3 linked regions of the Macaca fascicularis genome follow. The protein of the gene in region 1 interacts with the protein of each later gene in a biochemical or structural test. Links are inferred from orthologs where the notes say so. Each region holds a gene or a part of one and is shown in the gene's direction. Other genes may lie near its edges.

Region 1 (3,748 bases):
TCGCTTCACACTGTTGCAGCCTGGCCACGAAAGAACAAGCATTCCCGACTTCGGGATTCTTTCCACCACACACTTTCGTCCCTAAGGGGTGGGGGGCGGGGGGAAGATAAAATAACAACCGCGGAAAAGGAACCACTTACATGTGTCTAGCGCTTCCTAGAGGCTACTCAGGATATGGGCCCACCACCCGGCCGGGAAGGTGGAGATTTGAAGTCCAGGTTCTACCCCGGGCTCCTGAGTTCTACTGCGTTACTTTATGCGAGTGTCCCCCGCCTTCTGAGCTTGTTTTCCCGGAAGCAACTCGGCGCGGGTGGAGAGTGTGTGCGTGTGTGTGTGTGTGTGTGCGCGCGCGCGCATGTTGTGCGTGTTGTGTTAAGCGTGTGTGTGTTGTCCGGGGGCGGGAAGGGGAGTAGACTAACACCGGGGTTCCCCGAGTTTCGGATCGCCTACACGCTTGTTCCCATCTGGACCCTGTTACCCACTAATTGCGCCCACTATAAAAACTGCCCCTCGGAGGCAAAGCTGTGATCCCCCGCGCCCTTTCCCCCACGGTCCCGGAGGATGAAGTGGGGTGCAACGGAGACTCAGCTGAGCGTCCAGTTTTGGGCAATACAAATCTCTCAGCTTCTAAGAGCAGCCAGACAACCCCGCGGACCATCGCTCCTGAACTTGACCGAGATGCAAACTTCGCAGCGTTTCTCAACGTGGGGGGCCGACTCTCGGGAGACCGCCCCCAAACTTAAGCCCCCTTAGGCTCGCCCCCAACTGGGACTTCACAGAGCCACCTTAAGGGCGGCGCTCCCGCCCCCCGGAAGTGCGGGGGGGCGGCGGACCTGGACTCTCAGCCTCCCGCCCCGCGCGGTGGCGGACGCCGGTGGATGACTTCGAGCCCCACAAGTGGGGAAACACAACCACCCCTCGCCCGCACCCTTGACCCAAAACAACTGGCCGGGTTCCCTGGCCTCCCGGGTCCCCGCATCCCCTGCATCCCAGTCCGCAGCCGTGAACTTGAGCCCCCTCCGTCAGATGTTGCGAGCGTCCGCCCGCTCGCGGCAGCCACCGTCACTAGACAGTCAAACCCCAAGACGTCAGCCCACAATGCACCGGGCGGGCCGGGAAAAACGGCCCGGGGAGGGGACCGGGGAAGAGAGGGCCGAGAGGCGTGCGGCAGGGGGGAGGGTAGGAGAAAGAAGGGCCCGACTGTAGGAGGGCAGCGGAGCATTACCTCATCCCGTGAGCCTCCGCGGGCCCAGAGAAGAATCTTCTAGGGTGGAGTCTCCATGGTGACGGGCGGGCCCGCCCCCCTGAGAGCGACGCGAGCCAATGGGAAGGCCTTGGGGTGACATCATGGGCTATTTTTAGGGGTTGACTGGTAGCAGATAAGTGTTGAGCTCGAGCTGGATAAGGGCTCAGAGTTGCACTGAGTGTGGCTGAAGCAGCGAGGCGGGAGTGGAGGTGCGCGGACTCAGGCAGGCAGACAGACACAACCAGCCAGCCAGGACGGCAGTATAGTCCGAACTGCAAATCTTATTTTCTTTTCCACCTTCTCTCCAACTGCCCAGAGCTAGCGCCTGTGGCTCCCGGGCTGGTGTTACGAGGAGTGCCCAGAGAGCCTGGTCTCCAGCCGCCCCCAGGAGGAGAGCCCTGCTGCCCAGGCGCTGTTGACAGCGGTGGCGAGCAGCGGTACCCACGCGCCCGCCGGGGGAAGTCGGCGAGCGACTGCAGCAGCAAAGAACTTTCTCGGCCCGGAGGGCCGGAGACAACTGGCCCAGAGTCCCGGAGCGAACTTTTGCAAGCCTTTCCTGCGTCTTAGGCTATTCGGCGGCGGTAAAGACCAGGAGGCGGCGGACAGCCACGCAAAAGAAGAAGGACGTGCGCTCAGCTTCGCTCGCACCGGTTGCTGAACTTGGGCGAGCGCGAGCCGCGGCTGCCGGGCGCCCCCTCCCCCTCGCAGCGGAGGAGGGGACAAGTCGTCGGAGTCTGGGCGGCCGAGACCCGCCGCTGGTCGGCCTCTGCGGGTCGGCACTGATCCGCGCCGCCGGGAGAGCCGCTGCTCTGGGAAGCGAGTTCGCCCGCGGACTCCAAGGAACGGCGGCGCCCGAAGAGCGCTCAGTGAGTGACCGCGACTTTTCAAAGCCGGGTAGCGCGCGCGCGAGTCGACAAGTAAGAGTGCGGGAGGCATCTTAATTAACCCTGCGCTCCCTGGAGCGAGCTGGTGAGGAGGGCGCAGCGGGGACGACAACCAGCGGGTGCGCGCGCTCTTAGAGAAACTTTCCCTGCCAAAGGCCCCGGGGGGCACGGGTGTCCCCCGCTTGCCAGAGCGCTGTTGCGGCCCCGAAACTTCAGCACGCAGCCCAAACTAACCTCACGTGAAGTGACGGACTGTTCTATGACTGCAAAGATGGAAACGACCTTCTATGATGATGCCCTCAACGCCTCGTTCCTCCCGTCCGAGAGCGGAGCTTATGGCTACAGTAACCCCAAGATCCTGAAACAGAGCATGACCCTGAACCTGGCCGACCCAGTGGGGAGCCTGAAGCCGCACCTCCGCGCCAAGAACTCGGACCTCCTCACCTCGCCCGACGTGGGGCTGCTCAAGCTGGCGTCGCCCGAGCTGGAGCGCCTGATAATCCAGTCCAGCAACGGGCACATCACCACCACGCCGACCCCCACCCAGTTCCTGTGCCCCAAGAACGTGACAGACGAGCAGGAGGGCTTCGCCGAGGGCTTCGTGCGCGCCCTGGCCGAACTGCACAGCCAGAACACGCTGCCCAGCGTCACGTCAGCGGCGCAGCCGGTCAGCGGGGCGGGCATGGTAGCTCCAGCGGTAGCCTCGGTGGCAGGGGGCAGCGGCAGCGGAGGCTTCAGCGCCAGCCTGCACAGCGAGCCGCCCGTCTACGCCAACCTCAGCAACTTCAACCCAGGCGCGCTGAGCAGCGGCGGCGGGGCGCCCTCCTACGGCGCGGCCGGCCTGGCCTTTCCCGCGCAACCCCAGCAGCAGCAGCCGCCGCCGCAGCCGCCGCACCACCTGCCCCAGCAGATGCCCGTGCAGCACCCGCGGCTGCAAGCCCTGAAGGAGGAGCCTCAGACAGTGCCCGAGATGCCTGGCGAGACGCCGCCCCTGTCCCCCATTGACATGGAGTCCCAGGAGCGGATCAAGGCGGAGAGGAAGCGTATGAGGAACCGCATTGCTGCCTCCAAGTGCCGAAAAAGGAAGCTGGAGAGAATCGCCCGGCTGGAGGAAAAAGTGAAAACCTTGAAAGCTCAGAACTCGGAGCTGGCGTCCACGGCCAACATGCTCAGGGAACAGGTGGCACAGCTTAAACAGAAAGTCATGAACCACGTTAACAGTGGGTGCCAACTCATGCTAACGCAGCAGTTGCAAACATTTTGAAGAGAGACTGTTGGGGGCTGAGGGGCAACGGAGAAAAAAAATAACACAGAGAGACAGACTTGAAAACTTGACAAGTTGCGACGGAGAGAAAAAAGAAGTGTCCGAGAACTAAAGCCAAGGGTATCCAAGTTGGACTGGGTTGCGTCCTGACGGCGCCCCCAGTGTGCACGAGTGGGAAGGACTTGGCGCGCCCTCCCTTGGCGTGGAGCCAGGGAGCGGCCGCCTGCGGGCTGCCCCGCTTTGCGGACGGGCTGTCCCCGCGCGGACGGAACGTTGGACTTTTCGTTAACATTGACCAAGAACTGCATGGACCTAACATTCGATCTCATTCAGTATTAAAGGGGGGAGGGGGAG
Region 2 (3,327 bases), on another chromosome or scaffold:
TCCAAGTATTGACTGAACTAAAAAGAATATACTATCTCAGTTTCACTCTGACTGAGAAGCTAATGGACCTTTCTTGGGTCTAGGAGATTATCACCTATTTTACCTCTCATCTCTCAGGCCTGAAATACTCATCCTGCTTTTCTCTTCTGTTTCAACTCCCATCACCTGCTTTGTCTCTTGTGGTTCCATTCCTTTCTGTCTCCCAGTCCCCTCCCTAAAGATTTTCCTATTCCCACTACACTGCCTGTTTTCTTTTTGCATTTGAAGAAAAGCTCGCAGAGGACCTTTCATATTGAAGTGTTTTATTGCTTATCTGGACAGAATGGAGGGATGATCTCAAATACAGATGCTGGGTTCAGGAGCAGTGGTTTTCAGCCATATTTGGTTTCAGCATCGTTGGGTGCCTGAACCTCACCCTCAGAAATTCTGCTCAGTGTTCCATTTGAAGACCATTGATTTTATTTCATAAATGTATTCTTGAGAACTTTTAAGTAACTTGCGTTATTCAAATTTGGAATGACCCTTATTTAGTGTTCATGTGGTTTAAAAGTACTTAGCCTAGTGCATGAGTTACCTTTTTTCTCTATACCCCAGTGTAAGTCATTCCTGTCCCCTTCCTAAACCAATCCCCTTGAGAGGATTTCTGTCTCGAGCTCAGGTATTCGTGTTACTTTTTAAAATTCAGGAAGTCCTTATTAGGTAATACTTTCGGCAAAAGAAACTGTTTGCTCCTACTTTATCTATTTAATAAATCCATATTTCTACTTATCAAGTATTAGCGTAGAAATAAGAAGACCCAAGTTTACTTAACTAGGCCATTTGAGTGACACTGTCATGTCCCATAACCTTGTATAAACTGGGGCAGTTGAATTAAGGTTTCTTCCTGTTAAAATTATTTTATTCCTTGGCGCTTGCTTTAAAACAAGATGTGCCAGAAGTACATCTTGTTTCAAATTTGAATCATTTGAATTTTTCCTTTTTAGTGCAAAGCTATAAAGACTTTTTTGTAGGGAAGTAGCTTTTAACTTTTGTAGTTATACAGTCCTTTAAGATCTTCTGTCCAAAAAAAGGCATTACAGACAGTTTTGCATGTATTATCAGCAGTATTCACACGTACCCTGAAGCCCATTTGTGGATCTTGCTGCAGGACCATTTCTAAATGTGGCTCAGATGTAAATTCTTGTCTTAAACTGGAAAACACATTCATTGAAAGGATAGGACTCCACGATTCTAGACATTTTCAGAATTCTCACCTCATAGCTGTCAATGAAGAGTGTTTTTTAGTGTATTGGATATCATTTGCGATTATTTTTAGTGAGCCTTCTAAACCCAAGAGAAAAAATTACCACTAGAGGCAGGCAGTGCAGTGCAAGTAGCTCGATCTGCAGCTGTCTGCAACTGATTTGCTGTTTTGTTTCTCATAGCACAGGTGCAGCAGTGATCAATGGCTCTCAGCATCCATCGTCATCGTCGTCTGTCAATGATGTGTCTTCAATGTCAACAGATCCGACTTTGGCCTCGGATACAGACAGCAGTCTAGAAGCATCAGCTGGGCCTCTGGGCTGCTGTAGATGACTACTTGGGCCGTGGGGGGGTGGGAGGGACGGGGAGTCGGTTAGTCATTGATAGAACTACTTTGAAAACAATTCAGTGGTCTTATTTTTGAGTGATTTTTCAAAAAATGTAGAATTCATTTTGTAGTAAAGTAGTTTATTTTTTTTAATTTCAAGTGATGTAATTTAAAACCTAAGTTGTGTTTCAAAACAGCAACAAAACTGTATTGTATTTTTTGCTGTAATTAACTGTATAATGTAAACCTAATTATTTTATCATGTTTTAAATTTTTTGCATATTTGCTTTATCTTATGCTGCTGATTTTTTTAACTGAATTTGTAAGATTTTGTTTATCAAAGCAACTATTATGTGGTGACTTGCCTATATCATGAATTATTTAAGATTTTTATAGTTTTTTTTATTAGAATTTATTTCAGATGTTTTGTTCATGATACTATCCTTCAGGGTTATGTGCTTATCAATGAAATAACCCCAGAGGAGTGAGGGAAAATAACTTGTAGCCAGTTATATTCAGGAATAACTACTGTAAATGATGAACGTGTTAGGAGACCTCCAATATTTGCTACTTGCCAATCCTAATTTAGTTACAAGAATTGGTAGGCAATCCTACTTAATTTTGGCAAAAGCCCCGTCATCTAAGTGGCAGAATAACTCAGAGCATGTCTTTGAAGATGCTGGGCATCTACCACCACCTTATGTCCCCACCCTACCCAACAGAAATAAGTAAAAAGAACATGGTGTATTCTGCAAATTTGTGGCATGCTCAAAGTTTATGATCACATAAAGTCAAGAGGATACTTCATGAATAATACATTTCAATGCAAATAAACAGATGGTTCACTTCTACTAGCTATGAGCCTGTTTTTGTATACACTGAGTTAATCTACTCAGGCTGTAGGTCCCAGCAATGTTCTAGAGTCTAGTCTTTCCCTTTCCTGCAGCTTCGGGCCCTTGGACCTTTCCGGTTTCCTATTACTTGGAGTGTCTGTCAGTTGAACACCAGTTGTTCTGGTGTTTCTGGCCATTTGATTCTACTTGTAGCATAATCATATTTATACTAGCTATTGGGAGGTTCCAAAGCCTACCTAGATTTGTGTAGGTGATGTATCAAATGAGCAATATACCGTTCATCTGAAAATAGTAGCACACAGCCATATATAGGATGTCATTTTCTAAGGACTGTTTCTTCACATTGAGCAGAGCAGGCATAAATGGTGGTTATTTAGTCTGAGTCTTTTATTTTTTTATACCTGATTTTCAACATAACATGCAATGTGGATGTCGAGTAGTGTAAGAATGGTGCTGCTCCTGACAAGTGTATGTTAACTGTTTACATTTTCTATCTGCAGAATTATTTCTCTATAACTGAACTTTTCCCAAGTAAAATGTCTTTGAAGTCTCGTTATTTCTGAAATACGGTGTCTGTAATAGACCCAGGCACCTTTTAAATGATCTCTGGAACAAGAGGGATTTCATGTAATGAACTAGGAAGTGCATACTCACATAAGCAGCAAGGTTCTAGGCAGAAAGCCCCTTGGAATTCGTGACCAATGGGAAGAACAGGTGTGGCTTAACATGCAGTGTCTGAAAATTTGCTTGGCATTTTATTCATATATTTAGTGCAAAATTCCTTTTGAATGAGATATTTTACATCATTGTTAATGTGCAATATTTAAGATTAAAATACGTTAGCCTTTTTATATACTTTGAAATAGCAGGTTTGTTTTTGATGGCTTAGAGTCATGATTTCCA
Region 3 (3,748 bases), on another chromosome or scaffold:
ACTATTGTTCCAGAACATTAAACCAAACACGGGTCTTATGAGCTGTGGCCTATACAACTGCACAGTCGCACACCCATGAAGCCCACCCTGGTGGGAGGAGAGAATTAGAATTCATCTCCAACGAATGTAAAACAATCCCTACCCTGCCAAAACAACAAAAATAAACGATCCAAATTAGGGCAGGTTGTGAACAATCCTGATGGCTGTGCTTGTGATCATGGTGGCGGGGCTGAGGTGGGAGCACTGCTCCTATATAACAGACTTTAGAGGAGAAGGAAAATAGTTTCTGAAGCTCCAAAGGAGAAACTTCAGGCGCAAAGAATAAGGTAAAGGAAAGGAAACCGCGTCAGACCCTCCTCCTGCCCTTGGGCAGTCAATGCCTTTTCTTTCCAAAGCGACCCTCTCTTTAGATCACTGTGTATATCCGGTGCCTTAGGAGCTGGGGTGGAGTAGGTAGGGTTGGCTGTAATGGCGTGTCAGAGCGACAAAAAGGGTAGGGACAAGTTTAAATCCCTTTCTGTGGATTGGCTTCTACCCTCTTTGGCAACAAACCCCAGGGCTCCCAGAGGGGCCTGGATGTAAGTGGTTTCCGGATGACCCATCCTCCCTTGACCCTCCAAAGGTAAGACCCGAGGGGAACCGCTGTGATCAGCATTCTTGAATTCCTCAAAAGTCACCTCACTTGTAGAAGTGCGTAGTCCTCGAGCATTTGGAAGAGGTGGCAGGGACCGTGGGGCCCGGGAAGTTCGCGACCCCAGGAAGCGGGTGTGAGGAGGTGCGCCCCATCCACTCCGTCCGCAGTCGGGGCAGCGGGACCCGCGAGGACTGGAGTCCCTGCAGGGAGGGAAGGGCCGCTCCTGCCGAGGCGGCTCCGAGCCCCGCCACTCGGTCCTATCCCGGCTCGCGGAGGCTCAGGCCTCGGGAACTGCGGGCGGAGGGGGCGGCGACCGGGCACCCTGCGGCCACTGCTCCTGCGACTCCCGCGCCCGCCGGGTGGTGGCTCCGCAGTGCCCGCCCCCAGCTCCCCTTCCCCGCCCCTCACGCCCCCGCCCGGCGCTCTGGCCGCGCCGACCCGCCGCCCCGTCCTTCCGAGCGCGCCAGGCGGCAGCTTCTTGGCGGCGGCGGCGGCACCTCCCCCGCGCCGGCGGCCCCGCGCCGGCGGCCGCGCTCCGGGCCGCAGAGTCCTCCCGCCTCGGCCATTTTCCCTCCTCCCCATCTCCTCCCCTCAGTCCACTCCCCTCCTGATCCTCATCCCCTCGCCCTCCCCCCGCGCGGGGACTTTTCCGGAAAGTTTTTATTTTCCGTCTCGGCTCTCGGAGAAAGAAGCTCCTGGTTCAGCCGCTGCAAAACTTTTCGGCTGCCGCGCCGCCGGCCCCCGCCCTCGGCTGCCCGGCCCCGCGCCCCGCTGAGCGATGAGCGCCCCTCCGGTCCTGCGGCCGCCCAGCCCCCTGCTGCCCGTGGCGGCAGCCGCTGCGGCAGCTGCCGCCGCACTGGTCCCAGGGTCCGGGCCCGGGCCCGCGCCTTTCTTGGCTCCCGTCGCGGCCCCGGTCGGGGGCATCTCGTTCCATCTGCAGATCGGCCTGAGCCGTGAGCCAGTGCTGCTGCTGCAGGACTCGTCTGGGGACTACAGCCTGGCGCACGTCCGCGAGATGGCTTGCTCCATCGTCGACCAGAAGGTAAGTCGCCGCGCCGCTGCCAGCCCGGCGCCTCCCCGCGGCGCAGGGGGCGCTGCCCAGCTGGCCCTCTCTGCGCCAACTTTCCGGCTCCCGGGGCTCGGCCGGCGGCCAGCCTCGTCGGCGCTCTGGAAGCGACTGGCCTCGCCGCGGCTGGACGCCTGCAGCCCGAGGCACTGCGCTCGCTGTTGCTCATCCTCCTCTCGCCCCATCTTCCTCTATTCACCGATTTGTCTCCAGTCCGCCTACTCCTCACCCATTTCCATCCTTCTCATGACAATTTCCAGGTATCTTGCCCTTTCCTCGCCGCGCCCCTCCTTGTCCTTGAGACTTCCCAGTTTTCTTCTCCTCTGTCCCCTTCCCCTATGGACCCTGGACCAGCGCATTCCTGGTGCCGGAATCCTACTTCCTGCACCAGAGTGCCCCTGGAATGGCCTGGAGACAAGAAATTTCTCACCTGTCAGCTAAACTGACCAGGACTGCAGCTACCCAAGGCCCTGTCATCTTTTAGTTCCACCTCTGTATGAACATGGAAACACATTTTCCAACGACAAAACCTGAAAGTTGCAACCTTCCTATTTTTCATTCCCGGGATGCTGATAGTAGGACGTTGAAGTGGTGGGGGTGATGTCCAGGAACATCCCAAGGCTGGCTGTGCCCTTAAGTTTGAGGCTGTGGGGCTCTGGACAGCGGCCACTCAAGGCAGGTTGGAAGAAGGGCCGTTATCTGGGGCCAGGCCACCCCCGGAGGAGACTCAGTCCAGCCACCACTGTTTACAGTTGCAATTTGGATTTTCAGGTTGCCTCTGGAGCTATCCAGAGGGATGTTGCATGGAAGGGGGTGATACAGATGTGAGGGAGAGGGGACCATGGCGCCAGTCTTCTTAGTGTAAACAGCCAGCGTTTCAGGGGGTGGAGACAGAGGTCTCTAAAGGTGCTGAATTTTTCAGCCCTGGAGGACTGGCTAGCACTCCTTTTGCTTTCCAATTATCACTTGAATAATCATGAATTGCTTTCTTTAAACTATGTGTAACAGAGTTTGCTAAACCTTGAGGGTTGTGAGTTGCGGCACTGAGCACAGGGATGTTAAAAGCCCCAGGTGGAAAAAAATAACCGATCTAGAAAGTTGTGAAAGTTCTAGACTAAGGTAACAATGAGTGCCAGGAATTTATTTATGGAACTTTACTTTTATATTACGGGTAATGTCAACTGTTTGCAACTTCGAAGAAAATGACACATTTTGTCTAATGCTGATGCAAGTCATATCATGCTCCTTTTCCACATCAGTATTGTGGAATGTCTATTGTGGGTAAGCAGGAGCACTCTTCTAGGCACTGTGAAAGCCTTGTATACAACCCTCTCCATTTGGATGCAGACCAGTTAATTAAACAGCAATGCTTCATAACCACATATACAATGTACAATAAAATTTCTCAAAAAGCAAAGGTAATTCTGTACAATTTTAACTTTTCTAAATTCTAAAGCAAGTGATGTAGTGTCAGAGAATATTCAAATTGGGTCAAAGTAATATTGATAGACTTTGTTTTGACCAGCTTGAATTCTCCCTCCTCCCCGCCCCCAACTTCCTTATGGAGTTCAGGATGGAGAGACTGATCCATGGCTCAAGAGGTTTGGTAGTGGGATTTTAAAATGGAGGGTGAATTCCAGGTGTCTTGGAAGCTACCAAGAGGCGTGTTACATGGAGAGAGTGAGATGAGAGCAGAGGGAGAGGGACAGCAAGCACTTACGGAATGCAGCAGGCCTGAAGGTGGTGGCTGGGGTCTTTAAGGGAAGTACAGTTATGAAAAGGCCTTGAATTAAACTCAAATTGCGAGAAGCCTCAGTAATCTTTTCACAGCGACATCATACCAAGGACATCTGAAACATGGATTTGCTGTGTGGAGGTTTTAGAATGCCAAAAATGTTATGGCAGAAAGAGCACCAGAGTTCAGTCATGAGCAGTTGGAACATGAGCCAAGACTCTTGGGGGAGAGACCGGGAGAAATACTGGAAAGAGAAAACCATCAGCCCTGATAGGTGACTGATTTATAAGGGGAATCCTTTCCTTTTGTATTT

The links.
Region 2: of the proteins of JUN (region 1) and MAPK8, one has a biochemical effect on the other in vitro, tested with the Homo sapiens proteins (76 studies listed by BioGRID and IntAct, with this or other methods). The link is inferred for Macaca fascicularis from reciprocal best matches to the Homo sapiens genes JUN and MAPK8.
Region 3: of the proteins of JUN (region 1) and PRKD1, one has a biochemical effect on the other in vitro, tested with the Homo sapiens proteins (2 studies listed by BioGRID). The link is inferred for Macaca fascicularis from reciprocal best matches to the Homo sapiens genes JUN and PRKD1.

Annotation. Positions count from the first base shown.
Region 1 is NC_088375.1:175,918,013-175,921,760, forward strand, and holds the start of JUN (transcription factor Jun), read left to right. Parts: upstream 1-1,411; 5' UTR 1,412-2,389; coding exon 2,390-3,394; 3' UTR 3,395-3,748. UniProt on the Homo sapiens protein: Transcription factor that recognizes and binds to the AP-1 consensus motif 5'-TGA[GC]TCA-3'.
Region 2 is NC_088383.1:57,641,948-57,645,274, forward strand, and holds part of MAPK8 (mitogen-activated protein kinase 8), read left to right. Parts: intron 1-1,424; coding exon of another isoform or gene 1,425-1,429; coding exon 1,430-1,575; 3' UTR 1,576-3,327. UniProt on the Homo sapiens protein: Serine/threonine-protein kinase involved in various processes such as cell proliferation, differentiation, migration, transformation and programmed cell death.
Region 3 is NC_088381.1:97,748,731-97,752,478, reverse strand, and holds the start of PRKD1 (serine/threonine-protein kinase D1), read left to right. Parts: upstream 1-1,216; 5' UTR 1,217-1,412; coding exon 1,413-1,676; intron 1,677-3,748. Other genes in the region: uncharacterized protein, read right to left, coding at 678-1,216.